Linked DNA regions of Struthio camelus. The protein of the gene in region 1 interacts with the protein of each later gene in a biochemical or structural test. Links are inferred from orthologs where the notes say so. Each region holds a gene or a part of one and is shown on either strand. Other genes may lie near its edges. The genes, in order: NHERF2, PRKCA, SGK1 and TBC1D10A.

Region 1 (6,836 bases):
GGAGCTGGGCCCGTCCTTGCTACTCCCCAGCTCCCGGCTCGGCTGAATGGGGACCATTGTCCACGCACAGCCTCCGTTTTCTATGGTTTTTGTAGCTGGCAGATGCTCTGAAAGGGGCTCGCGGTGTCAGCCCAGCGCGGCGGGAAGGGGCGAGCCTGCGGTTCACGCACAGGGAAGCGAGAGCTTTCCCACCCTGCGAGTCGCTCCCTGCCCCGGCTCGCCCCGCGCACGAGGGGCAACAGCCCCAGAAGGGCTGGGAGGCAAAACCATGGGGCTGAGCCAGGGCAATGGGAATGGGGCAGGTTAAGGACATACATAGGAGCAGGGCAAAGGCCAGCGAAACCGCTGCCACGACTCCCTGCCAGCAGCCTCGGTGGAGAGGCTCCAACAGGCTGAACAGCACCTTCCTCCTGCAGGAGCCTTCATCCTGCAGAGGAGGAGGAGGAGAGGTGGCTGGGGGGACAGATGCTGGCCCCTGCATGGCACTCACTCCCCTCCCGCTCACCCACGGGGGGATCCCGGCATCAGCCGCCCCACGCAGGGGCTGTCCGACCTTCCTCGACAGGCAGAGCCTGCCGCGGATCCCAGACGAAACACAACCCCCTTCCTGCCAGCATCACAGCTTGTGGCGCGCGCATCCGCCCCAGCAAGCGGACCCCGGAGCCACGGCGCTCCGGGTGGCCCAGGACACCCCACAAAGCTGGGCTGCGTTTCCTTACAGGGCTCCTGCTCTGATCTAGGTCACGCCAGCCAGACACGTTACCATCGCCAAGGTTAGAAGTGACAAACGAGCCTAATGTGCAATTAGTTAGCAGTTATTTACTCCCCTGCATGCTCCGTTCAAGGTCAACAGACTCCGTATCTGCAAATGAAAAAACCAAGGCGAGATTTATAGGCCGCAGACAAGGCTGCTTGTCCTGAATAAACGACTGCACTGAATGCCGAAAACCATCTCCCTGCACCGTACCGGACGGCAGCTTGCCCAGGGCTCCCATCCATAACCGACCTGACGAGATGCTATTCCACCGAAGCCCAGAAAATCCATCTGCTCCTTTTCAGCTCCGTTTGCACACAGCAGCAGCCGCCTACGCTGCCGACAAGGGCCAGGCAACACCATTGCGAGGCCATTTCTCCTGCGAGGGAGCAGGCACGGGGCGGCAGGAGAGGTGCCACCAGGCAGCGCCTCGGGGGTGCACGCAGGAGAAAGGCAGCTGGGTGCTGCGCCACTGCGTCCCTCCCGCTCTGCCCCCAAACCATGCAGCTGGGTCCTCCAGGCGCTCATGCGGCAAAGTCACCAGCTGAGAACAGGGTCACACAGACCACGCCAGCTCCTGGAGGGAGCAGCTGACCCACTGCCAGCATGGGAACTCAAGGGTCAGGGATTTCGGATGCTGTCCCTGCATTGACCCCACTATGGGGAAGCTGAGCGCTGGGTAACGCCGTGCAAAGCCACGGCATGAAGCAAAGCGCTCTCCTGCTTGGAGACCCCCAGCTCAGTTGCTAGTGCTCCAGCCTGGCACGGCACGAACTGCTCTGCCAGCAGACGGTGCATCGGCACCAGGGCAGGGAGGCACCCACGGGTCCCCAAACGCTTTCCAACCCACTGCTGCCTCATGGCAGCAAACCCTGGAAGAGAGGGACCAGGCAAGCGCTGGCCAAGGCCTGGTGGGTGAGCTGCCGCTGAGCGGGGCACGGAGCAGTGCGGGCACACCAGCCACAAGTCGCTCCAAACCAGGTGCAGCAGGAGCGGCGCCAGCATCCTCGAGCCCAGCTCTGCTCCCGGCAGCACCGTTCCCGCACCTCCATCCGCACAGACTGTCACCCCAGACTGCACCAGCGGCACCAGCGTAACTGAGCCGGCCGGCGTCTTTCCACCCTTGCCAAACACCAGCTGCCTGGTGAGGCGGCTTCACCAGGCGCCGCTCCGTCGCTCGCTCTCGCACAGAGCGAGCCAGCAGCGTGCAACTCGCCCATCCGTGCAACGGCTCCCGGGGTGGACCGAGGGCTTCCCCCCAACCCTATCAGCACCGCGCACACCCCACAGTGGTGGAGATACTCAGACCCAGGAAGGGTTGGGCTTATCTGCAACCTCCACCTCTGCCGAGAGCACATCAGCCCCGTCGCTGCCAAAGCACGGCCCCGCGCGGCCGAGGGGCTGCAGCAGGAGGCCCGCGCTCCTCCGAGCCGAGGGACAGGCACCCCCGTCCGGCACTGCTCCTCCAGCAGGATGACAAGGACCAATGGCACCTCTGGAGCCCCTGGGGACCAAGCCCTCAGGCAAGGGCCGCTCCAGAGGCGCACAGCCCTGCTGCCCAGCAGGCCTCTGGGACAAGAGCCAAACACCCAGAAAACACATTCTGCTTTGGAAAAAAAAAAAAAGCAAAACAAAAAAAGGCAGAGCAAAGATGCAAATATCATCAGCTTCAGCCCAAAACAGCTGCACCAGAGCAGCAAGGCCTTGCCCACTCCAGGGTCCATCCCGGGGCAGCTCCGGGGGTGTCTGCAGGAGCAGCGCTTGCTCGAGGCCAGGAGGAGGAGGAGGAAGAGAGGCCCCAGCAGCTCCCCCAGCCCGGCCTTGGCCACGCTCGCCCCCGGCCGTCCCGGGGATGCTGCGGCAGCAGCTCCGGCCCGGGAGCAGGATGTTAACTAACTTAACGGGGCCCGCGCCGCCGCGGTCCGGGTCCGGGTCCGCTCCCCACCTGGTGGTGCGTCTCCTGCTCCACGTTGAGCCCGTTGACGGCGACGACGCGGTCGCCGGCGCGCAGCCCCGCCGCCTCGGCCGGCGAGCCCGGCTCCACCTTGCGGATGAACTGCCCGCTCTTGCCCTTCTCGCCGTGCAGGTGGAAGCCGTAGCCGCTCTCCCCCTTCAGCATGTGGCACAGCCGCGGCTTCAGCTGGTCCTTGGCCATGGCCGGGCGCGGAGCGGAGCGGGCGGCGGCGGCGGCCGCGCGGCCCTTTTATGTGCGGCGGCGGCGGCGGCGGCGGCGGCGGCGGCGGGCGCGGGGCGGTGGGCGCGGCTGGGGGCGGCCCTGCTGCGCGCTGCCCCGCCCCCAGCCCGGGGCGGGGCTAAGGCCAGGGGGCGGGGCTAAGAGTGGGGGCGGGGCTAAGACCCGGGGGCGGGACTAAACCTCGGGGGCGGGGCTCAGGGCTGGGGGCGAGGCGCGGCCACGCTGCGCGCTGCCCCGCGGAGCCGGGAGCGCAGCGCCGGGGCGGGGAGGGGGCGGGGCAACGGGATGGGGCGGGGCTAAAGGCAGGTATGGGGGCGGAAGGCTAAGGGACGGGGGCGGGGCTAAGTGCCAAGGCGGGGCTAAGGGGAGGGAGCGAGGCGCGGCCACGCTGCGCGCTGCCCCGCGGAGCCGGGAGCGCCGCGGAGGGGCGGGGGCGGGGCTGAGGGCGGAGACGGGGGCGGGGCCGGGCGAGCGACGAGGCGGGGGGGGCCGGGCCGGGCCGGGGTCGCGGGGCCGCCCGGGATGCCCGGGACACATGGCGGGGAGATGCCCGGGGTGCACGGAGCGGGGCCGCCCGGGATGCCCGGGGCGCACGGCGGGGAGATGCTCGGGGTGCACGGAGCAGGGCCGCCCGGGATGCCCGGGGCGCACGGTGGGGAGATGCTCGGGGTGCACGGAGCGGGGCCGCCCGGGGTGCCCGGGGCACACGGCGGGGAGATGCTCGGGGTGCACGGAGCGGGGCCGCCCGGGGTGCCCGGGGCGCACGGTGGGGAGATGCTCGGGGTGCACGGAGCGGGGCCGCCCGGGATGCCCGGGGCACACAGCGGGGAGATGCTCGGGGTGCACGGAGCAGGGCCGCCCGGGATGCCCGGGGCGCACGGTGGGGAGATGCTCGGGGTGCACGGAGCGGGGCCGCCCGGGATGCCCGGGGCACACAGCGGGGAGATGCTCGGGGTGCACGGAGCAGGGCCGCCCGGGATGCCCGGGGCGCACGGTGGGGAGATGCTCGGGGTGCACGGAGCGGGGCCGCCCGGGATGCCCGGGGCACATGGCGGGGAGATGCTCGGGGTGCACGGAGCGGGGCCACCCGGGGTGCCCGGGGCGCACGGCGGGGAGATGCTCGGGGTGCACGGAGCGGGGCCGCCCGGGGTGCCCGGGACACATGGCGGGGAGATGCTCGGGGTGCACGGAGCGGGGCCGCCCGGGATGCCCGGGGCACATGGCGGGGAGATGCTCGGGGTGCACGGAGCGGGGCCGCCCGGGATGCCCGGGGCACATGGCGGGGAGATGCTCGGGGTGCACGGAGCGGGGCCGCCCGGGATGCCCGAGGCACACAGCGGGGAGATGCTCGGGGTGCCCAGGACCCCATTTCTCTCCATGTCTCCGGAGTGGGAGAGGTTCCCACTAGGATCCTGGGCTCCTTGTCAACAGGGGCCGTGGCTAGATCTCCTCACCCAATACCTACATAGCTTCCACCGAACGCTTCGTGTCCTCCATACGCTCCGGCCGGGGCGGATGGCGTTCCTCAGCATGCGGGTCCAGCGTTTCGGTTGGAGATGCAGCGACAGGCCCTGCTATAGCCCGGACAGCCTCCTGCTCCGTCCCCAGCGCGCCTGACAGGCGCCGGCCGGGCTGCAGCATGGCGCGAGCTGGTGTTGGTGGGACGCACAGGTTCCCCTCCTCGCCCTTGTACGTCCCTGATCGGCGTTTCCTTGAAACCGCTCACAAGGCAGAAACGAGCCGGAGGAGAGGCGCTGCGCCGACCGGCCGGCCCAGCCGGAGCGGCTCGTCCTGCTCCTCTGTCACAGCGTGTCTAGCTTTACTCCGTGGCGCTGCTCCCTCCCCAGCTGCTCTCCAGGCAGATTTCTGTAGAGCTGAAGCAAATGCAACAGCCAACTTGAGGCTGCAAATAAAATACTCTAGAGATGAACGTTGATTTGCTTTTTAATTTGCGGTCTATTAAAAAAAAATATTTCCACTGAAGCTGTACATGAAGTAACTCTTGGTCTGAAAGATGTTTGAATCGAGAAGATGCTTGCTAAGTGTCTTAGAGGGAAGGTGCTGTCCTGGAGTGAATGGCATCACGTACCTCCGTCAAGAGTGACCAGCCAGATGCCCTGTGCTCCGTACGGACTTCGCACGTAAGGAGACGGCACAACAGCGGGTATCGCTGGGACCAGCGAGATGGTCACCGCGAGCGCTCGGTGGCCTTCGCTGAGGGCAATAGGACCACCAGGCAGGAGCGATTTCAGCGCCCGGCTGCGGGGTCAGCCCTGGCGCTGCCTCGCCGCCCCTTGCCGGGAGGTTTCGGCCGGGAGCGGAGGCGCCGGGGGAGGCCGCCGGCCGCCTCCGCCGGGCGACACGAACGGAGGCCAGAGAGCCGGGAAATGCGGCGATTATCGCCGTGTACCATGAGGACCCCCCGAGCTTCTCCGCGGAGTCGTGCAGCCTTTTTATCAGCCGAGGTGAGTGCGAATAATTGATTTTTCCGCTCACTGGGCAAACTGAAAAGCTGGAGGGAAGGGGAGAAGAGAAGGAATTGTTTCCAGTTTGTTTGAACGAAAACTTTTTTTCTTTTTATTCAGTGCAAAAACAAAAACCACAAGGGAGAAAATCTTTGGGGTGGTCAATCAGAACGGTTTTAACCCGTTTGAACAATTCTTTAAAAAAGTGTTGGTAACCTGCAAAATAAAAACATGGAAAAATACCATTCCAAAAACGTGAAAATGAAATTTTTGAATTTTCCTAAAATGCTTATTTTCTAAAGCAGAAGCTCTTTCTCAAGTCTTGTCTGAATTTGCTGCTTTCCCTTCTGTCCTTGTCATCCTCAAAAGGCATCTTTCCCCCCAGGAAACATCTATTAACGACAGAGAAATTAAGCAGGGCCAGCAGCCTGCTCGGTGCTGGGCGTCACCTGCCAGGCAAGAGGACGCAGCCCAGCCTTGCTGCCGGCTCTGCAAACTGCCCCGAGGAAGACTTGTGCGAGCCTTCCTCCCCGCGCGTTGCACTGCGCCCGTCAGCGGGGCAGCGTTTCCCAGGCTGCTCCCGCTCGGAGGCGCCCGACGCGCCGCGGGGTGACTCGCCCTCCCTCCTTGCTGCTCTAACCGCTCCTCCTCTGCGCGGCACGGGGACGACGCGGCCGAGCGCTGGTTCAGCCCGGCGGTTTTGCGCCTCTGCTTCCAAGCGTCGACGCGGTCTCCTGGGCTTTGCAAGCCGTGCTTTGGCATGGACGTGGCTTGACGAGACACGCTGTGTTTTGCGCTGCGGTCGATGGGAAAGCATCCAGTGTCATGTACGGGAGCTGGGAAGAATGTGGAAATATGTTGTGCGAATATGCATCCTCGCGCAGCACAAAACCCCTTTAATTCGCGAGAAGAGCTTGCCGTTTCCTAAGCAGCGTCGGCTGGACTCTGCAGCCGCGCAGAGAAAAAGCAGAGAGCCCATCAGGGCTTCTGCACTTACCGATATACCAGAGTCATGATTAGATTCAACAGATACTGCAGAAGTGAGGGGTGTTTTTTCCATTTAGATTTCTATGCGTTTTGATTTGGGCAAATATTTAAGTCTTAATGGGGCTAACTTGAAAGCTGAGGAAGTTTCCCGGCTCTGCATGCTTATTGGCTTGGAAGAATGTGCAGCTCTCTTCATTTGACATCTGCTCCAAAGCAAACAGGTTCATTTATAATTCATTCACTGCACTTTATTAAGCACTTACATAGAATTACACCTGTACGCCGACCGCTGCTTGCTCTAGGCCTGACAATATTCCCTAGCTAATGCAAAATACATACGCTGTGCAAAGTTTCACAATTACAGAAAGTGGGCTTGACCGGCAGCCTCCCTGCGGGGGAGAGGCCGGGATTTTTAAAGTTTGCACAGCAAAGTCTG
Region 2 (7,852 bases), on another chromosome or scaffold:
CTAAACCAACTATGTGTAGAAGCCAGCCAGTAGGCTGTACACACTTAAAAACATGAAATTGAATTATGGACTTTGTGGCAATGTAATAAACATTTATCCATTTTTCTTTTCTTTTTTTTTTGCTCTTTTTTAAAATAGAAAATGGACAAAATCTTTGGTACACAGTTAATTCAGATGAAAACTCACATTATACAACTTTGATTATTTTTGTAAACTTCTGCTCAAAAGTCTCTACCTACTGTCGTTATAAGTAGGTCTAAACTAACATATCCAAAATAAATATAAAACTGTTTGTTTACTCGGCAGCATATGTGACTATACCATAATGTTATTTTATTGTTCTCATGTCTTGTGTTCACAAAGGTAAAAAGCATGTACTGAAAGTGTGCAAATGAGAGCGTAAAACCACGAAAGCTGACAGCAGAACTAAGAACATGAAATAGGCTTTAGATAGTTTTCTGTCCTTTCAAATGGACTTATTTGTAAAGAACATCCCTCTAATATCTACTGAAAGCATAGCCATTGTTCAGCATTTGAGCTAAATTCATACACTAAGCAGCTGTGGTCTGGCTAGTCTATTCCATGCTCTAGTCAGTTGCAATGCATTTTGAGTAAAATATCTCAAAAAAAAGAAAAAAACCCACCACGTTTCAGAAATGAAGCAGATAAGTGAAAGTTGTTGAAGAAAATAAAGAGGTAGTAAATTATTTCGGTAAACATTACCCGGTCAAGTATAAGCTAAAAACAAAAAAGAAGCCTATTCGCACAGAGATTACAGTGTGTTGAAAGGCTGTATTTACTATTCTTTATACCTTACAAGGCATGCTAATAGCCACGCGTCGTTTTGAACATAGACATATCTTGAATAAGCATCTGAGGGAATAAAGAATGCTTCATCTAACTTCAAATGAGGAAATGAAACAAAAGTTTTGGAGCTGCCACATGCTGTTTTGAAGAATGTTAAGAGCTTCCTAGACTTACTAGCAAAAAAGAACAAAAGACTACAGCTACTCTTGCCACCTGTCAACTACAGGATATCCTTTCACTTTTAAATGCATCCTGTGATCAGGTGCCTTTTCTTATTACAGTATTTTGCCCTTTTTTTTTTTTTTAAATCGTGTTAGTCATCTGCACAAACATGGGCCGACAATAGCCCTGCAGCATTCTTTCACACCTCCCAATTCCCTGTTTCGGGATAATTTTGAAGCAGTTTCCAAAGGTCTCCCACTTTTACAATACCCAACTTTGTGACTACTTTCTTTCAAATAGAAAAACTTAAAAACAAAACAAAACACACGCTCTCAAAGAAGTTGGCTTGCTTCTCCTGCAGTCCACCCATCTCAGATTTCCTTCCTTTCCTTTCCTTCAAACCCTTTACTCTGCAAACGTATCTTAATCATTTCTGGAGCAGCCCCAGATTCTCCGGCCCGCAAACTGAGGAAAACACAAGGAGGTAGGCCAACGTCTGCACTCAGGGACATAAACACTTGTGACAAGACCAAGACACCTGCCCAAAAACACAGAGCCAGCTGGGCGCATCCCCCTCTGCTCTTTCTACAAAGTTGGCTAAAATGAACCGCCCGGTCTCAATTTTGGCAAGGAAACCTGCAAGGAAACCCTCGGCAACTTCAGGAGCAGAGCAACGCTGAAGACCAAGCCTCATCTCTTCCTAGGTAAGAGGAAAGGAAGCACAAGTTGTTTCTGTCGCGTGCTAGCTGAAGGCACAAAACATTCACCCGGACCCAAGGGCACACGCCTGCCCACCCGCCGGTGCTGCCTCACCTAGCCGAGGGCACGGGACATGTGTGAGCAGACTTCGCGCGCCCGCTCCCGCCACGGGAGAGGGAGGGTTTCAGACAGAGCTGAACCACGCAGAGACAAGCGCGCCGGAGCAGCAGCAGCGCGGCTGGGCCTGCAGCGGAGCCGCAATCCTGCCCAGGAGAGGGCACGGCGGGATCCCAGAGGCACGTTTTCTTCTCCCCACCCCCGAGAGCTCAGTAAGGAGGGTGTTGGGAGGAAGAGCCTCGCTCCCTTCCTCCCTAGCAAAAACCATTCTCTGGAGGAAAAAAAAAAAAAAAAGAAAAACAAAACCCCCAAAATAAGATCTCTTTCCTAAGCGCGAGGACCCAGCCGCAGTGCCACCGCGCGCTCCCAATCTTCCTGCCCTCCATTGGCAGCGAGAGGAAATAAACAGACAGCAAAGTTAAAGGCAGGGCTGCGAAGTTGTGCCAGGGAGCAGCGGCCGAGGGGGGGGGGAACCACACAGCACGGCGGGTCCCCCACCCCCCCCCCCACCCCGGGCCTGGCCCCAGCGGCGGGGCCGAGAGGGGCTGAAGGCGGGGCGGGTGATGAGCGGCTTCGCCTGCCGCGGCGGGCAGCCCGCCGGGAAGCGCCGCTGCCTGCCCCGGGCTCGGGACAACAGCGCCGAGCCCCCCCGGGGGGACTCACCTGCCCGACCCCGGGGGGAAACCGGCCCCTCCAGCGCGACGGCTGCGGAAGGAGGCAGCCGGCGGGGGGCGACGCAGGTGCTGGGGGCGAGCCCGGCGGGCCGGGGGGGGGGGGGGCGCGGCGGCAGGCCGCGGCGGGCCGGGGGGCGCGGGCCGCGGCGGGGCGTCTCACCAGATGAAGTCGGTGCAGTGGCTGCAGAAGGTGGGCTGCTTGAAGAAGCGCGCGATGAATTTGTGCTCCTTCACCTCGTGCACGTTCTTCTGCCTCAGGGCCCCCTTGCGAGCGAAGCGGCGCGCCGCGTCCGGGGCCGCGCCGGGCTCGGAGCCCGGGAACACGTCGGCCATAGCACCCTCCTCTCCACTCCCCTGCCGGCAGACGGGCCGCGCCGGGAGTCGCCGCCCCGACGTCCGCCCCGTCCGGCAGCCGCCGAGTCTCTGGCAACGGCGGCGCTGGGCGCTGCCTCCCGCTCCCGCGCCTGACGTCGGAGCGGCGCGTAGGGAGCGGGAGGAGGATCCCGGGCGCGGGCCCGCGCCGGCCGCTCCGCCCGCGAGGTGACCGAGCCCCCCAGGGGCGGGCGGGGCCGGCTCGGCTGCGGCCGCCGGGGCCGCCCCCCCCCCGGGGGGAGCGCGCGCACTGGGGTGGGGGGGTGGGTTGGGCTGGGCCGGGCCGGCAGCACCTGCTGCCTCTCGTCAGCCGGCCCCCGCCTCACACACACACCGCCTCACACACACACCGCCTCACACACACACCCGGACACACACACACACCCGGACACACACACCGCCTCACACACACACCCGGACACACACACCGCCTCACACACACACACTGCCTCACACACACCACCTCACACACACACCCGGACACACACACCGCCTCACACACACACACCGCCTCACACACACCACCTCACACACACACCACCTCACACACACACCCGGACACATGCACCCGGACACACGCACTGCCTCACACACGCACACCACCTCACACACACCACCTCACACACACACACAGACACACACACCGCCTCACACACACCACCTCGCGCACACACACGGACACACGCACCGCGCCACACCCACCCACCCACCTCATACACACACACCGCCACACACACACCGCCTCACACACACCGGGACACACGCACCACCTCACACACACCGGCCTCATACACACACACCACCTCACACACACCACCTCACACACACACACGGACACACACACTGCCTCACACACACCGCCTCACACACACACCCAGACACACACACTGCCTCACACACACAAACCGCCTCACACACGCACCGCCTCACACACACACACACACACCGCCTCACACACACACTGCCTCACACACACACACACACACGGCAGGCAGCACCCTTCACACATGCGCACACAGACACGGCAGCCAGCTCCCTTCACAGGCACATGGGTGCACACACACGACAGCCGTCTCCCTTGACACTCGCACACACACAGAAACGGCAGCTGGCTCCCTTCACACACACAGACACATGCGGCAAACAGCTCCCTTCACACACACACACACACACACACACACACACACACACACACACACACACACACACACACACACACACACACACACACACACACACACACACACACACAGCAACCAGCTCCCTTCTCTCTCTCTCTCTCTCTTTCTCTCTCTCTCTCACACACACACACACACACGGACGTGCGCGCACCCCCCCCCCCCCAGTACCTGACTCCCTTCTCTCTCTCTCTCACGCACACACACCTATACACACACACAATTTCCTCAGCCCTGGCCGTGGGAACTGCCACCCCGGGGGGCCCCAGCAGAGCCCCCAGCACAGGGCAGCTCTCCTGGGGCTGCACAGCCGCAGGCCGGGCACCCACCCCAGGGGCATCGCCGTGGGGTGCCCACACTGGAGGCACCACAATGGCACCCACTCCAGGGGCACCACCATGGGGTGCCCATGCCAGGCACACCACCATGCGGCGCCCACCCTGGGGGCATCGTGGTGGGGTGCCCACTCTGGGGGCATCGCCGTGGGGTGTCCGTGCCAGGGGCATCGCCATGGGGCGCCCACACCAGGGGCACCACCACGGTGCACCACTCCAAGCCACCCACTCCAGGGTGCCACCCAGGGGCACCCCGCACCCCACAGCCCTGCAGCAGCGGTCCCAGCCCAGCAGTGCGCGCTCGCGGCTGCCTTCCTTCCACCTTCGCTCGTCCCGGCGGCTGTTAGGTGCCACGTGCTGCCGCCATCCCCACCGGATGTGCGGTGAGCCCGGACCCAGCTGGTAGTGGCTACTTGCACAGCATGTGCTTCTGGCACCTGCCCAGGTATACGTTGCTGCACCACCACCGCAAACAAAGGTGTCACCCAGATGCTCTCCTTTCCCCTTCCTGCAACCCACAAACCCAACGGTGTGCATGCAAATGCTGTGCGAGGCCTTGCTAAACAAATGTACATTGCACAATACACACCAGATAGCACAACAAATACATGAGACGAGGGGCCTCGGTGTCTTGCCCCCGCTGCAATGTGCCATATATATTTAATTGATCATACGATATGAATATCCTCAACAAAAAAAGTAAACACACAGCAAGTCTTTTTCACTAATTAACGCATCCACCACATACGCAAAAGACTTCTACCATGTTTTCATGCAACATATTCCCAAGTGTTCTATAACATAACAAAACCATTCAACTTCTTTTATTCACATGACAAATAAAATGTTCACAGATCCCTGGACCTAGAAACATTGTCTGCATACAGCATGCAAACATCATCTCATACAGCCATTCATGCAGCGTCTCCATACATTCAGAAAAACACAGAGCATAAAGCACAGCTGTGCATACATCGAAACATGATACACGTGTTTCATAATTTCGTTTATAAATTTTATTCTCACAGCTACAAATTTTCACATATGTGGAATGGGTGCATAATAAAAGTTTCTCCACCACAATATATGTACATACTCATAAGTCTGCCTCTGTAGGCACATGCAATACATTTTGTTTCGCAAGAATGAAAGAAGGCTAATTAATTCAAATTAAGTCTTACTTGCTGATGGAAAAAACTGTGCACACGGACATTTACCACAGAGCAGAAATAACTTGTTACACATGTTATCTTGTACGTAATTCTAAATCCTGGGTTTCTGGATGCAGCCTGGCTGAACTGATATGTCTGTGGCATTTCATCAGACAACTCTTCCATAAAATGTTGGATTGAAATTTGGTACCCAACAATATCATTTATTTGCATCAGAACTCTGCGGTTCTTCTGAACTATCCCTTATCCCTGCTTTTTGTTATCGTTGTTTAGACTGTCACAACCCTGCAGAATCATTTTGTATTCCATTTTCTTTCCTGAGACCGTCTCTGGTCAAGATTCATTCGCTGCAGCACCTGCTAGTGTCTCAGCCTCCTGCTTCCAACACCTACTGATTATCCCAAGGAAAAGCCAAACCACACCAGTACTGACACCACAAGGTAACCTTAGGATCACTTTACTCTGCCTTTGTAAAGCAATCATTTTATCTCCTACCATAATAATGATTTTTACATTGTGAATAAACATATCAGGCAAGATAAAAAAATCCTTTATCTGTGCACAGCAAAATGCCCCCCAAAAGAGTTAAAACATAACTTTTCCTTATTGCACATAACATACAACTTCCCTTATTATTGTATTTTATATACATACCACTTAACACAGTGCGTACACAGCACTTACAGTGCTTTTTTCCCCATCTTGTAGATAGTATTTCAATTTGAAATTTCAAGATTAGTCACTTTGATCAGGATGCTCTTACAGTGACAGTATGGAGGGATACTACGGTCCATACCTACCAGATGCTTTTAGTATATGCTGTCCTAATAATCAGCATCCTCTTCCTGGGAGGCTTTTAATTGCCTGGACATTCATTTTTACTACTCTACATTCAAGCTCTGTGGGTGATACAGGAACTCATGCTCCTGCAAGTTATTGGAAGAAGTCTGCTATCTCTTCCTGAACGCACACATTCCCAGCAGCAACCCGTGCCTTGCTCTTGTGCTTCGGATAGTGTTTGCAATTTGTTTCTGATTCAGCCATCTGGATGAGGAGTCAGCATTATCGTTGTTTGTGTTCGGGCATATACGTGGTTATTAAATCAGAGTATCAGCTTTTCCAATCTCCTGGCAAGTAGCTCCAGAATTCCTGACTCCAAAGCATCATTTTATGGGGTCTTCTGGTAACAAATTTACTCCCATGTGAATATTTGGATAGTGCCCAACAGAGTTCATGTCTGCTGGAAGTTCCCATTGGAGGGTGTGCGAGTTTTTCTCTGAGCTCAGATTATTGCTGTAGTAAGCACAACTGTCTCAAGTCCTTTCTGCATTTGTGTCAATGCCTTCCTAGGTCTGCAGGTACAAGCATCTGTGTCCATTGTGAAAGAGGTTTCTAATTGCTTAGAGTCACTTTGCTGCCTATGAAATGGTTTCTCTCTTTACTCACCTGTTGGATCAGCTCAGCGCTGCGCTAGATCAACTCAAAGACAAAGCCAAGGAGAATTCTGTCTCCTTCTTTGGCAGTTGTAGCTCTCTATTTTGTTATTTCCTGATTGTAAGAAATATTCAGCAAACAGGGATCAGTTCCTGCTCTAAGACCTATAAGGAAGTTCACAACCTAATTTCTCCTGACATTTCAAAGCAAATCACAACCACTTCCTTTTCTAGAGAGTACCAGAACAAGTAGCTGTTTCCCTAACCCCTGTTAGGGAGTGAGTCAATCACTGCAAACCAGATGTCTACAAATTATTTGCTTCATCTGGTCTCATCTTTCAAAGGAATTTCCACACAGTCCGTTTATGAGACATTTCTGTTGGCGAGTATTGTGGAATTATTAACCATAATTGAATCAAAATCAGCTTCTCTGACTATCCAGACTTCAGAGTCAAATTTCAGAGGCAAGGTTTTCCAGATTTCTTTTTCGACACGTTTGTTTGTTTCTCTCTTTCTTTGAAATCAGTTATAGAGTTCAGTTTTTCACAAGTTTGATTGCTATGTCATGTCCAGCACAGATGAGAAAAGGTCCACTACTCCTATATATTTTCCAGATCCTATTACACATTCATCAGCAAAATCCTGTTTATTGTTCTCATCTGGATGCTTTGGCGACAACGAACCCTAAATGTTTCCAAAATTTGGAAATAGGTAGGATGTATTTGTGTGTGTGTTTGTATGTATGTGCGTGCTTGTATCTGTGTGGTAAGGAGGTAGAAATATTCTATATTTTTCTATATCAACACTGGTATCTGTATCTTTCTGTGTCTTTTTATATCTATATGCGTACATCTGGGTTTGTACATCTGTGCCTCTCTGTATCAACGTGATTCTCTTCTCTGC
Region 3 (7,029 bases), on another chromosome or scaffold:
TTCCTTTTATTTCTATCAATCAGATGTGTTGCCTTTTAATTTCAGCCTTTCCTTCCTAACCTCGGACCTCCGGACGTGATTAGCCCATACTCTGAATCATCTGACAAAGCAGGCAGCATCCCAGAGAGTCAGTGCTTTGTCATCAGAGAATAAACCAGGCTTTAAAAAAAATCTGGTTCTGAGATTCAAGTCAATGTTTGAATGCACTTTCAGCCTAGCCTAAATCCACAGAGCTCTGCCAGTCCTTTCTGCACTCTTGGCCAGAGCAACAAAGATGATTGCAATTTAAGGAAAACATAAGGCTCTATGGAAAACAAAAACAATGAAGATTAAGCTGGTTCTTTCTTCCAAACAAATCTAATCTAGTGGAAAAATAACATTCCCTGAAAACTGGGGTGTTCTAATCCAGATTGATGTGGATTTTTAGAATCAAACTAGAAATCATTTGTGCTAGAAATGTGAGCCTTTTTAGGAGACAAACACAGGGAATTTTAAGTTGAGAGACTGGGTTTCCATCCCCTGCTTCATCCTAGACATGGTGAGTGGTTTGGGGGAAGCCTATTCTGTACACACACAATGAATCTGCTTCTCTGGGTTTCAGTAACCTGTCAGGAAAATTAGGATAACAATATCTCATCCCCGAAATCATACCTATTAAGCTCCTCAGTGCAAGATCTGCCTCTCACTATTGATACAGGATGTGTCCAGCTGGTTGCTGGTGTTCGTTATGGTGCCCTGGTGTTGTTGTGAGGCAAATAGTCAAATAAATAACAATATCACACACTAGATTTGAATCAAGAAACCTCGTAGCTGTGCTTCTCTAGATGCAAGATTTTGGTGGTTGTTCAGATAGAGTGTCCAGAGCGTTGACAGGGAACCAAACGGATTATATTTAACAATCCTGTCCGATTCTTAAAGCAGTTAAATGCAGCATGTCACCAGTCCAGTAAATGCAAGATACATTACTGGAAGCTAGTAGCACATCTGGAATGTGTAGCTTTTCTTGCTTGTACACTTCGCAAGCACTGATGTAGGAACAATATGGTTAACATTTGGATACAGAGGATTTTCTAGGAAGAAGATAATGAGGGTAACTGAAATGTCAATGAACACATTTATCTATTGACAAAAATGCATACGGAGGGAATTTCCTACCTTTGTGTCTCTAAATTGATTTCACTGATTTCATTTATCTTCGTCACCATAGCAAAAATGCAATATCTGATAACAGAAAAATCCCCAGAAACTAAAAAATGACTATGTCTCCTGAACCACTGCACAGGACTGTCCTGATATGCTAGTTTATTCAAATATAATTACATTTGACAGCCTTTTCCAAAGAGAAAATCACTGATCATCAGCGTAGCTTTGACAAAAACAACTTTCCCAATTTTCTAGAACAAAGTGATGTGGAGCCTTCCTGTGATAACTTGTCTTAGCACTAAATGAGATAGAAAACTACTGCCAATAAACAACTTCATGCAGGAATTGCAAGTCATTTTGTTTCCTCTTTAAGAACAAATTTGTCTTTAAACCTCTGAGTAGTTTTGAAAATCAGATAAAGCTTTCTGGTGAGCTATGTATCAAAATTACAGGTACCAAAAGTAATATACTTAAATTAGAAGCTGCCTGGGTCAAGGACAGTATTTACAGTCTGAGTGTGAGTAGTGTCTGGGCTTCCACCTCTACCTGAAGCTTCCACCAGCCACCCCTGAAACAACAACAAATGTCAGCAAAGACCACATTTTTTTTCCTCTGATTGACCCTGCTTGTGTTTTACCAGGTCTGCCCTTAAATTTGGCATTTTGTTGGCCAGAAGGGGTTGACCCTGGCTTATAAATCTGCATTTGGTGTCAGCTTCACTTTCTTTGCCTGAAGGGTTAAATGGAGTGACCATATTCTTGGCGTAACACAGAGAGAGAATGAATGGGATAAATGAATGAATGAGTGAATGGAGCAGCTTATCTGCTCTTACTCCTGTCTGTTTAAAGAGAGGGCTGTCATTTTAATCATTCAGGAAATCCTTTCCATAGGGGAGTCCCTGCTACCAATCTCTTTAGGATGCTCTGCTTCTCTGTTCTGGTATCCAGGAATACCCAGGTGTATTCAGAATACCTGTCCTGCTGTCACATGGAAATGACTTTGTTGATTAAGTTAAATGGAGTGTGTTCAGCATCGTCACTGTAAAACGGTCAGAGAGCAGACTCAGCTAAGGTGTTGAGGCAGAGTGTTTCATGTATGCTTCCTTCTGGAAATCAGCAGTCAAATACAACATACAGCAAATTTTTTCCAAACCCTGACACATCTGTCTAAATTAAAGAACATAAAACAGAACCAAATCCAGGTGGACCTTACTCTCACTCTTTTCTCCTGCGTTAATTGTGATTACAGGCAAATTACAAGCTGTGAAATATTTTGCTGATCTCACAAATGCCTCTTTGTTCTGTGTGGTTTTTTTTTTTTTTCTCTGTGAGATGATGAATGGAGGTGGGTAGCGCTGCGCTTCTGGCAAGTGAATGAAAAGGTGTGGAGGAAGTCATACCCCTAGGTGGATGTGGAGGAGGGAGTGAGAGAGGGAGGCAAGCTGCAACAAACCCGCACTCTGATTTGGAGTGTATTATCCCAATCTGAATAGCTGGTCGTATTGCGTCAAGCCCTGTGGTCAGCTGTGATTGAGATACACGTTCCACAGCAAAGAGTGCTTACGTAATGCCGTTTGGTGCCTCTGCCCCGTCCCCCTCCCCAGGTCCCCTTCTCTTCTGAGATGCCGGTGCCCTTGGTGTTCGCCAGAACTGCCAGCTCAGGGGGCTCATTATCGGAGAAGATTGTTGTTAAAACACTCTCCTTCTTCAGTGACTTACTCTACTGTGGCACGTTAACAAGCAAACAAAAAAAAAAAGAAAATGGAAAGAAAGAATTAAAGGAAAACCTTACCCTTTTTTTAAAAAACTGAAAGGCTGAGCACTTCTTGACTGGAAATCCATTCATGTCTTTGTTGACCATTTTCCACAGTGAAGAGTACACAGTGATAGATCCAGTGTGGCACTTGCTTAATGCATCTGTTTTCCTCTGTATCCCTCCAGTTAATGAAGACAGAGTAGGACGGGAGGCTCACCGGCTCGGCTCAGGCAGCTATCCTTTACACATTCATTCTGCACCAGCTACTGCAGCAGCAGCAGCGAGCGGCAGCCTTTTCCAGCTTTCAGTTGCAGCAGGCTATTAGCTTCTTAAAAAACATCCCCTAAATGCACACACTCCTAAAAAAACCTTGTGACAGCTTTCAAATCACAGGCAGCAGATCTCAGGCTAAGCGAGTCTCACATAAAGGCAGATCCTTGCGTACGGTGGGTGCTACCGGTACCTCATGCTTTATATGCAGTCAGGCTAATGAGCTCAGTTTGCTGTTCTTCTTCAGGTGAGGTGATTCACCGCTGTTTGAGATGAGAGCTGGTTTTGATTGTGCAAATGCTGGTGGGAGCTGCAGTTCAGCAACAGCAGAGAGAGAGAGAGAGAGAGAAGGAGAGAGAGAGAAAGAGAGAGAGATAGAGAGAGAGATGCACAGGAAGAGCAGCAGAACACAAATAAGCGTACAAAGGATAGGAGGAAGGCTCAGGGAGAGAAGCGCTGAAAGGCAATATGTTTCCCTTGGGAGAGTGACAGGATAGCTCACATTTTATATTTGGACAGTTTTTGTGTAAAAAAAAAAGAGACCCAGGTCAGTTAAAAAATGTTTTTTTCTTAAGTTGTTCTCATCACAGTGATTTAGAATGTGGTACTTGGGAAAAAAAACCCATCCGATGACCAATGGATGGGTTATGTGACAGGGCATGTTGTAGACAGAGAAGCACTGGAGCTTCATTGTGAAGTTCAACGAGCTTAAAGGAAAACAATGGTTCCCATATAGGAAATTTGCCATATATGATGCAGATAAATGGAAAGCAAGAACATATAAACAAATCTATTCAGATATTTTCGCCCTTTTTCTGCCGAAGAAACATAGATGTACTACAACTCTCAAAACTCAAGGACTATCTAATTACAGAAAATTCAGGCTGAAAAGGATCTTGAGAGGACAAATTGTCTAACCTTCTGTCTTTTAAATTCTATTTAGGTATTTTTCACCAATCCCAGTGAATCTAATAACATGTGTTTAGCAAAAAAATAAAATATCATTTAATTAAGGTAAATTCTGCAGCAAGATCTTCATCACTTTTTCACTTCCTCTCATTCTACATCCCACATTAATAAACCTCAGTTTAAAAAAAGGACCTTATTTCTAAGATTGAACTGGCTTCCCGTTCTAGCCATTACTTGCTGTACAACCTTTCTCTATGGGACTAGTCAGCCCTGTAGTACAGAGAATCTAGCGCCTTTGAAAAAGCTGTTCTACTGTAAATCACTTACTTCTCAAGCATCTCTTCGGTAAGGTTAACAAACTGAGCCTTTTACCTTTTTTAGTGGAATGTATTTTCTCTAGTCCTTGAATATGCTCTATTATTCTTTCTTGTCCCTTCTGTCCTTTTTTCAAGATTCTTGAAATATAAGAACACTTAAGTTCTACATCCTGTGTCAGCACTGGTTTCTGCACTACCTCATGCTCAGGTGAAACACCTGCTGCTATAGTTAGGAGAACCCCCCTGGTCCTTCTGAGCTGTGCTTCTAGCTGAGACTCCATGTCAAGGTGCTTGTAGGCTGTAGCCTTTTTACAGACTCACTAGCATGAAGCCTGTGTTTCCCCTTTTTGTACCTCTAGTCTTCATTCTCTGTAAACACCTGAATTTGGCTACACTCTTATTAGAGCCAATTGGAATTTCTTGAGGAAAGAATTTTTTAGTAAGTGCTATGTCATTCAATCAAAAATCCTTTCCTTTCCTTTTTCCTTCCCCTTCCACTTTCCCTTCCTCTTCCCCTTCCCTCCTTTCTCTTTTCCTCTCCCTCTCCCTTTCCTCTCTTTTTCCCCTTCTTTTTTCAATGATAGCAGTTGCAGCTGTTTCAATAACACTTTTATAGAGGAATACTTCTTAGGTCCAGGAGAAAATCCTGGTCAAAACTGCAGGGTAAATGTACAACCCCATCACAGGTCAGAATGTTGAGTGTTCACTTAGGGAAATGCAAGTTCAAGGTCCAAGTCACACAAAAGACATAACTCTGAGTTTCCAAGTTTTAAAGGACTGGGCTGAAGAGCCAATATCTTGTCAGAATTGTTCCATTTTGTACAACTAATAAATATGCACTGGACCAAGGAGAGAGGGAAGTGTGGAATTTTCCACTCTGCCTCTCTATCTGAAGCTAATGGATTTTGCCAAGCAGCAGTTCAGCCCAGACTCCAAAAACTGCCCAGCTAAAGGCACGTTGAGGGATTTGCAGAAAATCTGAAATTCTCAGCATGTCTCAGTCAGGCCGCTCTGAACTTATCACCCTCCGCACCACCCTGAACACTAGCCATATTGGAAAAATCTCTCATTAATCCTTTCCTGTGCTTTAGAGCTGTCAAGTTTGTATTCTGGTGCTTATAGATAGAGAAGTAGATAACAGTGAGTGTCTAATTTTTTACCAGTGGCTATTCTCAGCACCACGTGCTTTGTCGGCTGATCTGATACGCAAGGAAACTATTCAAAAATGGCTTTCATTCAGGCTAACTAGGCTGCTTGCTGTGCACATACGTTTATTTTTGCGATCTTTGATCTATTCAGCCACAGCTTTGATCTGTCTCTCATCCTCTGTTATTTCTCCTGAGGGCTCAGCACTATCTTCTGTTTCACAAAGCATTTGTGTTGCCTCTACCTCCTCCATAAGATTTCCAGATGGCTGGCTGAGACGCTGTTCTCCTTCTAGCCTTTTAAACCTGGCATCCTGCGTACTGATGGTGGTGGCAACTGCCTCTGTGAAAATATTTCATCGGTCCTGGTGCCAGGGCCTTGGCCTCCAAAGCCTGATTGGAGGCATGCCTGTCAGGTCTTTTTGGTATTTATTTCTATTTGGGTTTTGGCCTATTTTTAGCTGGACAAAGTATGCAGTTAAGCTAAGCATATTTCTACCAGAGAAACAACTGTTTTCAAAGCAGCCTGGTAGTTTTAAAATACTGCAGAAGTTGTTTTTTGAGGCAGGTGCTATCCTGTGAGGGGAATGTGCTGGGACACTACCACTACATCATTTGGAGCCCTCTTGGCCTCTCCAATATAATGATATTTTGGTAAGAATCCTTCTCAGCTGTCATGCTTTTGGATCTGTGGTCTCAAAGGGTTTTATGTGCTAACTTTTTTTACCAAGGATATCAGAGGTGCGACTCAGTGGCTGCAAAGTTTACATTTAGCACAGGAGAGTAAAAGTCATAGAAAGGAGCAGAAGGGGTGCCACATACAACTGTTTTTACACCAGCAGATAAAGATTTAAAGCCAGAAAGATTTTCCTAAGAAAAACTATTCTGCTTCATTATGGTGCCAAAAGCATGGCTTCATAATTAAACCTGAAATAAGCATAAAACTCTATGTTCACTGCATTTAACTGCAATCAAAAGGCATTAAAAACTGAGTAGGAAAATAAAAATTTGAGCCAAGCAAGCCAATCGCTCAGCAGTGCTTTATTGTGACTGTCATGAAACACCAAAGGCTTTTGTCGACTTGGTGGCACGCCAAGGAACAAGGAACTAGTTTCTCCAGGAACAGGACTAGCTGAGTCTACCTGGTGCTTTCATCTCACCTCTGCCTTAGGCTAGTTCATCACACTTTCCTAAGCTACTGGTTGCTCCTGTAGCTGCCAGCATCTATCTTGAAAACCTATTGTCTGGACACCCCTCTTAAGATAACTCTCATGTATTTTTTATCCTTATACCACTCAAATGCAGCACTTTTTGCTCAGCTCCTATTTGTGTTTACCTCTGTGCTCCACTGTCACTCCCTGCTCTCGAGCACATGGACTGCAGGGTGCTCCTTATTAGCCAAGTTTTTGTCCAGCTCTTCACCCGTGCTTGTTCCTTGCTCTCCGGGTCACTAATAGGAATGGGAAAGTGAGTGATGCACTAATAGCCCC
Region 4 (7,329 bases), on another chromosome or scaffold:
GAGCAACCGCAGGAGAAAGCCATTGGGAGGAACTCGAACACAAGTGACAGCCCGCATCTGTTGGGACGACAGCGGGGACATCCTCCTGTGCTCTCGTCCGCAGAGAGGGCACCCGAGTAACGGGGCTGCCACCACGGCGCCTTCAGAAGCGCCCCGAGAGGTGACGGTTCGTTCAGAGGGGCACGTGCAAGCCAGCTGCCTCCGGCTACAGTCACTGTGGGCAGGAGAGCTCCTCCATCCAGGAAAGAGCCTCCCACTTTATGCAGTGCCGAGCGCATGAATGAATTAACCGAGAATGATCCCGACAGGCAGATGAGGGATTTGACACCCACCGAGAGAGCAAAGCACCTTGCCCAGCAGCCGAGCAATCAACATTTCAGCAGCTTTTCTCCCTAGACACCAGTACTGGGGGAGCAGAGTTAGCACCCACAGGCTCCTGGCTTACGAAGGCTTCCCACACTCAGGAGGGATGCACGCTTTGCTCCTCATAGATGGAGAAACTGAGGCATGCGGCCCAATCGACATCAGAGCAGGCGAGCGGGGACAAGAGCTCAGACATGTCAGTGCGCAGCCCCGGCACCCCTCTGACCTTCGGGGAACTTCACAGACGCGCTAAGAATACGCGCACCGGGTGAGGGGGGGGGGGTAAACAGCTAGGTCCTGCTGGCTGGGGGCCAGGCCAGATCAGCTGTCACGCCGGCCCCGCATCGGCCACAAGGGCGTCCAGGAGCGTCCTGCGAGGTGCAAATCGCAGGGGAGCCAGTCCTAGGTAAGGCCACAGCTAGAGAGGATCAAGCTGCCACCTTGGCCACCTGCCCAAGCAAGGTCTGATCCCTCGCTTCTCTGGGTGTCGCTGCAAAAACATCATCGCCAGGAAGAAAAACATGCCGCCAAACCAGCTCCCCAGGACCTGGGGCGGCCGGGGCACATTCCAGCGCGCCTCGCAACCAGCGCCACCCAGCTCCGCGGCGGAGTCTGGTGCTGCGGGACAAGCCACGGGGCCAGCACGGCCACTAGCCCTCCTGCCTCCCAGCTGGCTGCCAGCAAGCCTGGCGCTGCTCTGCTCAGAGCTGACTTCAGCAGCCTCGCTTCCTCCCACCATCAGCTGCGCGGGGCTCGGGGAGGGCGGGAGCCCTTCTGGAGGCTCCTCCGATGGCTTCCTCTGCAAACGGAGATCAGCCGCCTTCCCCTCCTCGCCATGGCCCCTCCAGTAACTGCTTGCTTTTCCAGCGGCTACAGATGTTCCCGACCAGCCTACGAGTTCCCCTCGCAGGAAGCCAGCACCCAGGAGAGCCAAACAACGGCACGGCCTCCCCCTGTCAGACGACGGCCAAAAATACGCAGGAATCCAGCGCCTGGACGAGAACAGGCCTCAAGGTAACCAGACACTGACATCACCGAGTGGAAGGGGAGCGAGCAGGCCTTGGCGTTACTTACGGCGCTCAGCAATTCCTCCCTCACGCCTCCCCCCGCCCAAGGCGAGCGCTGCTTTCTAGCCTCTCCTTGAAACTGCTCCAGCCCCCTGCGTGTTTCCCTTCTTCTCTCCTCCCAGTCAGCCGGCAGGGGACACGGGAGAAGCTGGAACAGCGTTAGGGGCTCTCCCAACTTCCCCTGCTGCCTTTTTTCCCGTTGCAACTCCCGTTGCTGCTCTGGTGCAGCAGGAAAGCCGTCCACGTGGACCCAGAGCGTCGCTCCTCCAGCCTCACGCTCCGCTGTGGGCGCAAGCAACGCCGCAGGACGTCCCAGCTCCGAGCAGCGGAGAGCCCACAGACAGTCGCCGGCGCCAGAGCGCAGGAGGCTGGGGAAAGGCAGAGGACCCTGCACCGTCCTGCTTCTGTGACTCCCCCAAGAAAATTTAAACAATTTACAGCACGAGGCAGGAACACTGCCCAGCAAGCTTCGGTCACTTCGAGCGACGTCAGAACGTCGGCAGGAGCAGCCTAAACAGAGGCGCTGGGGACAAACAACAGCTCTAGATCACCCTATCCTGGTGCATTCCAAGATTCACACTTTGTAGGCTCAACATAGCCCAAAATTCACTTCTCTCCGGCCACAGGGACTGTTTTGTTTTCACTATGGTGCCACCGAGCCAAAGCTGGCCTTGGAGCATCGGTGTTTTGCAAGCCAGCTTTGAGACGGGTCTGCGTGGGATGCTGGGCTGGCTGACAGCTGAACTCTGGATTCCTCGAGGTGCAGCACTTCCCCGGCACCCCCAGCCGCCTCGCTGCAGGCAGCGGTTTCGGGGAGCCGGCTGACGCCGCCGGGCAGGGACGCGGTGCAGCACGCCAGGGAGGCGTCACGCACCGCTCTCCTCCCGGGCGCTGCTTGCCAGCCTCGCGCGCTAAGAGCCGATACGAGAGTCACGAAAAAAAGCAGCCCGAGGTTTATTGCGGGTCGTCCACCCTGCTGACAGGGTTTTACCCCAGGCACGGGGGGAGGTTCCCCCCGGCCCCGCGGAGCCCAGGCGCGGGAGCCCGGCCACCGAGCAGAGCCGGAGCGCGTGAAACAGGGCCCAGAGGCGAAGGCAGTCGGCGGCTGCGGGGAACGCGACCCCCGGCGGAGGCCGCCCGGCCCCGAGCGCGGCGGGGAAGGCGCCAGCGCGGGCCCGGGGCAGGCAGGCAGGCCGCTGCCGGGCCGGGCCGGGGCAGCGGGGCAGGACTCGCCGCCCGCTCCCCGGCGGCCGGGGCCGGGCCGGGCGCCCCGCAGGCCGCGGGGGCCGGAGGCGCCGCCGAGCCCCGGGCGGCCCCGCGGCTCCAGGCCCGCCCGCTCCCCGCGGAGCCGCCCCCGCCCCGGCACTCACGGCCCCTCGGCGCTGCGGCTGCCCACGATGAAGCCGAACTTGTCGACGCGCCGCTCCTCGGGGCCGCCGCCGTTGACCTCGGAGTCGGAGCCGAGGGAGCTGAGCTCGTCGCCGCCCGGCTCGGCCGCCAGGCTCTCGCGGGTGCCGGCCAGGCCGCGGCGGCTGCCGGGCGAGCCGGGCCCGCCGCCCCCGCGGCTCTTGGCCATGGCGCTGCGGCGGCGGCGCGGCCGCTCCCCCGCGCCGCCCGGCCCGGCCACGGCGGCGGCTCGGCCCGGCCCGCCCCCGCCGCCGCCACGGCCCAACCGCGCGCCGCCACGCCCCTGCCCCGCCGGCCCATTGGGCGCCGCGCGGGGGCGGGGCCGGGCCTCCCCCTCTCGCCAACCGGCGGCCGCGGGGAGAGGCCGGGCCGGCTCACGCCGGGCGGTGATTGGGCGAGCCGCCGGGCGGGAGCTGTCCGTCAGCGTGAGAGACGCCGTCAGTCAGCGCGGGGGCGGGGGCTGCGCCGCCGCCATCGGGGCCCAGCGCGGCGGCCGCGCCGGAAGCGCCGGCCGAGGGGCCCCGAGGCGCCGCTCTGGCCCGGCGGGCCGGCAGCCCCGGCCCCTGTTGGGCGGCGCCGCGCGGGCAGGAGCCGCCGAGACTCAAAAAGGCTCGTCTGCCTTTTCCCTCGCTGTGCAGGGAAGCTGCCGCCGCCGCCGCCCGGCCCACGGCAGTCTGGTCTCGGGCCACGCAGGAGCGCCGGCCCGCTCCGCCTCCCCCACGCCGCGGGAGGGAAGCACATGGGCCACGGCAGCACCGCAGCCCGCAACGTGGAAACGGCCGGGAGGGAAGCGCCCCGTTGTTTTTGAAGTTGGGGCGGCTCCAGTGCCCGCTGGCAGCTCCCATTTCCTCCTCCGGTTGTGCTGTGGCCGGCGAGGCAACGCATCTGCCTCTTCTGCTTTGATTTCAGCTGCTTTTGCAGACGCGTGGGGTTGTCTTGGTGCTGAAGAGCCAGCGAGGGAACGGGCCGCACCGTAGTCCCTCTCTCTCTGACCCTGCAGTGGATTTCCTGCCCCTCCAGCCCCCAAAGGAGCCTATTTCACATCCTCCTGGAGCTCCAGCAGCTCTTTCTGGGCAGCGTCCGCCCCGAGGCTCACCTCTGCCCCGGGCCCAGCCAGGCACCGAGGGCTCCATGGGGCAGCGCAGGCGCCCTCAGCTTCGGGACCATTTCACAAGATCATTTCAGAGGGGAGCAGCTCTGCAGCCCAGGCTGTCAGATGGCAAAGCCATCACAGAAGCGCCAGCTGGTGACAGAAGACTTAAAGAAGCCATCAATTTAGTCTCCACCACCTGTGTGATCTTCTGCCTCTCCTCATGCTCTCCTAGGGCACCAGATACAACCAGCAACTCCTCATCTGCTATGGTCAGGCTTCAGTGGCAAGTCATATAGACACAGAGAGCTGTTTCACATTATCAGAGCTCAAGCTGTGAGAGTCGGTCTGGTTGTAGGGCTGGGTACTGCAGTTAAAAGGCAACAGGCTCACAAAAAACATACTTTAAAAGGAAACTACACGTGCGTTTGCCTTTAAAAGCATGCTGTAGTTGTGATTTCCAGCACACAACCACAAACTGTCCCCCAGCTTGGCCTACACCAGTGCAGCGTAAAACAGACCTGCCCATTTCTCTAGAGAAACCCTTTTGGTTACCTCTCCTCCGCTCTGCTCCCACGAGATCAACCTTTGCATCAAGCCTTGAAAAATCTCTCATATTACAACTGCAGCTTGTACCAGGACTCCCTGGAGAGGGAGGGGAGGAAGCAGGGTACCAGGCACACAACAGCTCAACTGCCAGCAGGGCAACACCGCGAGCAGGGTCACCAGCAGAAGCATCTCCCTCACATCTCAGCTGGACAGCAGGAGTGAACCGGCAGCCAGTGAAGCCCACAGATCCCAGGTCTCTGCAAACGAGCTGCCGCTATCTGCGAGTCTCTTAGTGGCCTGAAGCACAAACCCAAGGAGCACGCTGAAATCTAGCGGAGCTTTCTCGTCTCTACCTCACACAAGTAAAACTCCTCCGGCTAGTCACAAGGATCTAGCAGGGCCCAGCACAAAGCAGACTTCAGTGTCAGCACTGGGTCTTTCGTCCAGTACAGGTCAAAATGGATGCAACTTTCCACTGGCAGTTTTGCAGCGAGGAGGCAGCCTTAGAGCTCCTTCCCTGTGTCCAGACCCTTATCACCCTCTGATAAAATTATGACCCCATGCTGAAGGCTAAACTTATTGTGGCAGTAACACAAAGCATGACTTTCTCCCACGAACAGCAAAGCAGAGGGGCTTTAATAGAGTCAAGACCCCTCACAAACCTGCAAGACATCAAGTCCGAAGGGCCAAGGAGACTGATAGGTTAATTCAGGTGCTGGCTTTATGGGCCTATTTTCAGATTTTTTTCAGGCAGTCTAAGCTTTGCAGATCCACCCCACTGAAGTGGAAGGCCCTGATAATAGTTGTTTTGTACTGGATACACACACACGCAGTCTTGTTTTAACATTCATCTGCAATATTTAGATAGAAACGGGCTGGCTGTTGGCAAGTCTCCACGCAAGTTATTTCTAGTGCTCTCACTTGGAGGCCAGTGCAGGAAGTTCTCCTGCAGGAATGCTGGGCTGGGCACTCGGCCCCGTGCAGGATGTAGTCAGACGCTTGTAGAAGTAGCCTGACTTTGTTGAAGACCGAGCACGTCACCTAAGCACCAGCACAGCGTTCATCCAGAGACACCTAGGAAATAAATGTCTGATAAGGGAGCGCAGATGATGCTCCTTGCATCAAGCACTATGGCAGTTCATACTGCATGGGTGCAGCCCAGAACAACAGCTGGATGACCTTAAATGCAGCCCCATCACGCTTGGTGTCTTACACAGGATGTAGAAACATCACTTCTCCATTTCAGAGCTCTCTCTTCCTTGCAGAGCTGATCAGCTCTGGAAAACACCACTTGCTAGCTAGCTATGCACATGCTGTTTTAGCAAACTGCTGCCTCCACTGCAATGACTCCAAGCTATGCCACCGAGTGTTGTTGTCTCCAGGAGATTGTACCTAACTATTGTCTAGTTTTTACAAGCCAAAAGTAATTAGCACGCCTTCCTGCAGGGCAGGAGCACCTCTGTATCCACAATACACCCAAACACCCTGCCCACAGCTGCAAGAAGCTGTTAATTCAATATCCTACAGCACCAGAGCAGGCTGCGCTTTTGTGACTAAGCGCTGTGCTGTTCTCAGACACGTGGGCATCCGACACCGGCATCTGTCAAAAACAGCAGCTGGCTTCCATGAGCTGGGAGGACCGCCAGCCACCTGGGTTGGGCCTGGGCCAAACACCTTTCCCACACCACTATGATTTCCTCTCTCCCACCTACCCTCAAAGATGAGGGCACAAAGGGGACTGTAGGATGTTGTCCTGTGTAGGATGTTGAATCTCTCTCTCTCTCTCCTAAGCACAAAATAACAGGATGTTAAAAGCTAATGTCTATACCCCAAAAATCATAGCTTTGGATTATCCTAAAAGGAGAGCAGAGGTACTAGAGTCACGTGGCCGCTGCTGGGCAACAACAGACAACAGCATTTTCCTTGACCACTTATTTACACATAGATTTTAATGGCTATTTTTTGTTTCACCATGTTCTGTGTTATGTTTGCATCAAACCGTGACACAGCTATGACTGACGGTACAAAAATAATCTATTTTTAGAAGCTAATGCTCTCCGTGACCAAGAGATGATAGAAGCACAAAGTATGTAATGCATTTTACAAGGAAATTCTCACTAGTTAGATTTAAATTCAGAATAATCTGTCACCTCATACATGGACATAAACAGCAATTATATATACACCTGTATTACAATATGGGAATAACTGTGTAGTCTTAGAGAAGTTTAACAAAAACCCTTTCTTACAGCTTTTCCTATGAAGGAAAAGCTTTTTCTATAAGCCAACTACAAAAAAAAAATTCCCCACAACGCATCTAAAATTTGAACACTTTAAAGCCAGGCACATTTCAATCTTTAAAAAAAAAAAAACAAAAAACATAAAACCCAAGGAACTAGAGTTGTTATAGACAGAATCCCACACTAAGATGGGTGTTTATTAAAACAAATCACAGACTGTACAGAATAATCATGAAGTTGTTTAGCATGCACAGTCCCAGATCATCTTTATCATGACGAATGGCAGTGTGCACTCATACTGAGGGAGGATAAAATTCCAAGTCAGGGTCAGTGCAAGAGACTCTTGCAGATAGGTCAGAGACAGAGAAAGAATAAGGAGTGTATTAAGTATATCGAGAAGAAAGTTTTCAATTAGAAAAAGATTAAATGAAGTGGCAAACACTGTAGTCAGATGATATTCTTGATCAGTATAAACCCCTTCTACAAACAAAGATGGAGCTAATCTAAGCTGGGCATGGCCTCAATGCCACTTCATTAGGGAATTCAATGGACAGATAGCAAAAGCGGACACCAGCATTCTAGCAAAGCATTGATCACTAAAAGCCTGCTGCAC

Evidence for each region.
Region 2: the proteins of NHERF2 (region 1) and PRKCA form a complex in vitro, tested with the Homo sapiens proteins (2 studies listed by BioGRID and IntAct, with this or other methods). The link is inferred for Struthio camelus from reciprocal best matches to the Homo sapiens genes NHERF2 and PRKCA.
Region 3: the proteins of NHERF2 (region 1) and SGK1 form a complex in vitro, tested with the Homo sapiens proteins (2 studies listed by BioGRID, with this or other methods). The link is inferred for Struthio camelus from reciprocal best matches to the Homo sapiens genes NHERF2 and SGK1.
Region 4: the proteins of NHERF2 (region 1) and TBC1D10A form a complex in vitro, tested with the Homo sapiens proteins (2 studies listed by IntAct, with this or other methods). The link is inferred for Struthio camelus from reciprocal best matches to the Homo sapiens genes NHERF2 and TBC1D10A.

Annotation. Positions count from the first base shown.
Region 1 is NC_090956.1:2,049,830-2,056,665, forward strand, and holds the start of NHERF2 (Na(+)/H(+) exchange regulatory cofactor NHE-RF2), read right to left. Parts: upstream 3,007-6,836; 5' UTR 2,910-3,006; coding exon 2,700-2,909; intron 1-2,699.
Region 2 is NC_090960.1:3,950,109-3,957,960, reverse strand, and holds the start of PRKCA (protein kinase C alpha type), read right to left. Parts: upstream 3,009-7,852; 5' UTR 2,793-3,008; coding exon 2,620-2,792; intron 1-2,619. UniProt on the Homo sapiens protein: Calcium-activated, phospholipid- and diacylglycerol (DAG)-dependent serine/threonine-protein kinase that is involved in positive and negative regulation of cell proliferation, apoptosis, differentiation, migration and adhesion, tumorigenesis, cardiac hypertrophy, angiogenesis, platelet function and inflammation, by directly phosphorylating targets such as RAF1, BCL2, CSPG4, TNNT2/CTNT, or activating signaling cascade involving MAPK1/3 (ERK1/2) and RAP1GAP.
Region 3 is NC_090944.1:72,810,334-72,817,362, forward strand, and holds the start of SGK1 (serine/threonine-protein kinase Sgk1), read right to left. Parts: upstream 3,019-7,029; 5' UTR 3,004-3,018; coding exon 2,935-3,003; intron 1-2,934. UniProt on the Homo sapiens protein: Serine/threonine-protein kinase which is involved in the regulation of a wide variety of ion channels, membrane transporters, cellular enzymes, transcription factors, neuronal excitability, cell growth, proliferation, survival, migration and apoptosis.
Region 4 is NC_090958.1:4,806,391-4,813,719, reverse strand, and holds the start of TBC1D10A (TBC1 domain family member 10A), read right to left. Parts: upstream 3,016-7,329; 5' UTR 3,007-3,015; coding exon 2,801-3,006; intron 1-2,800.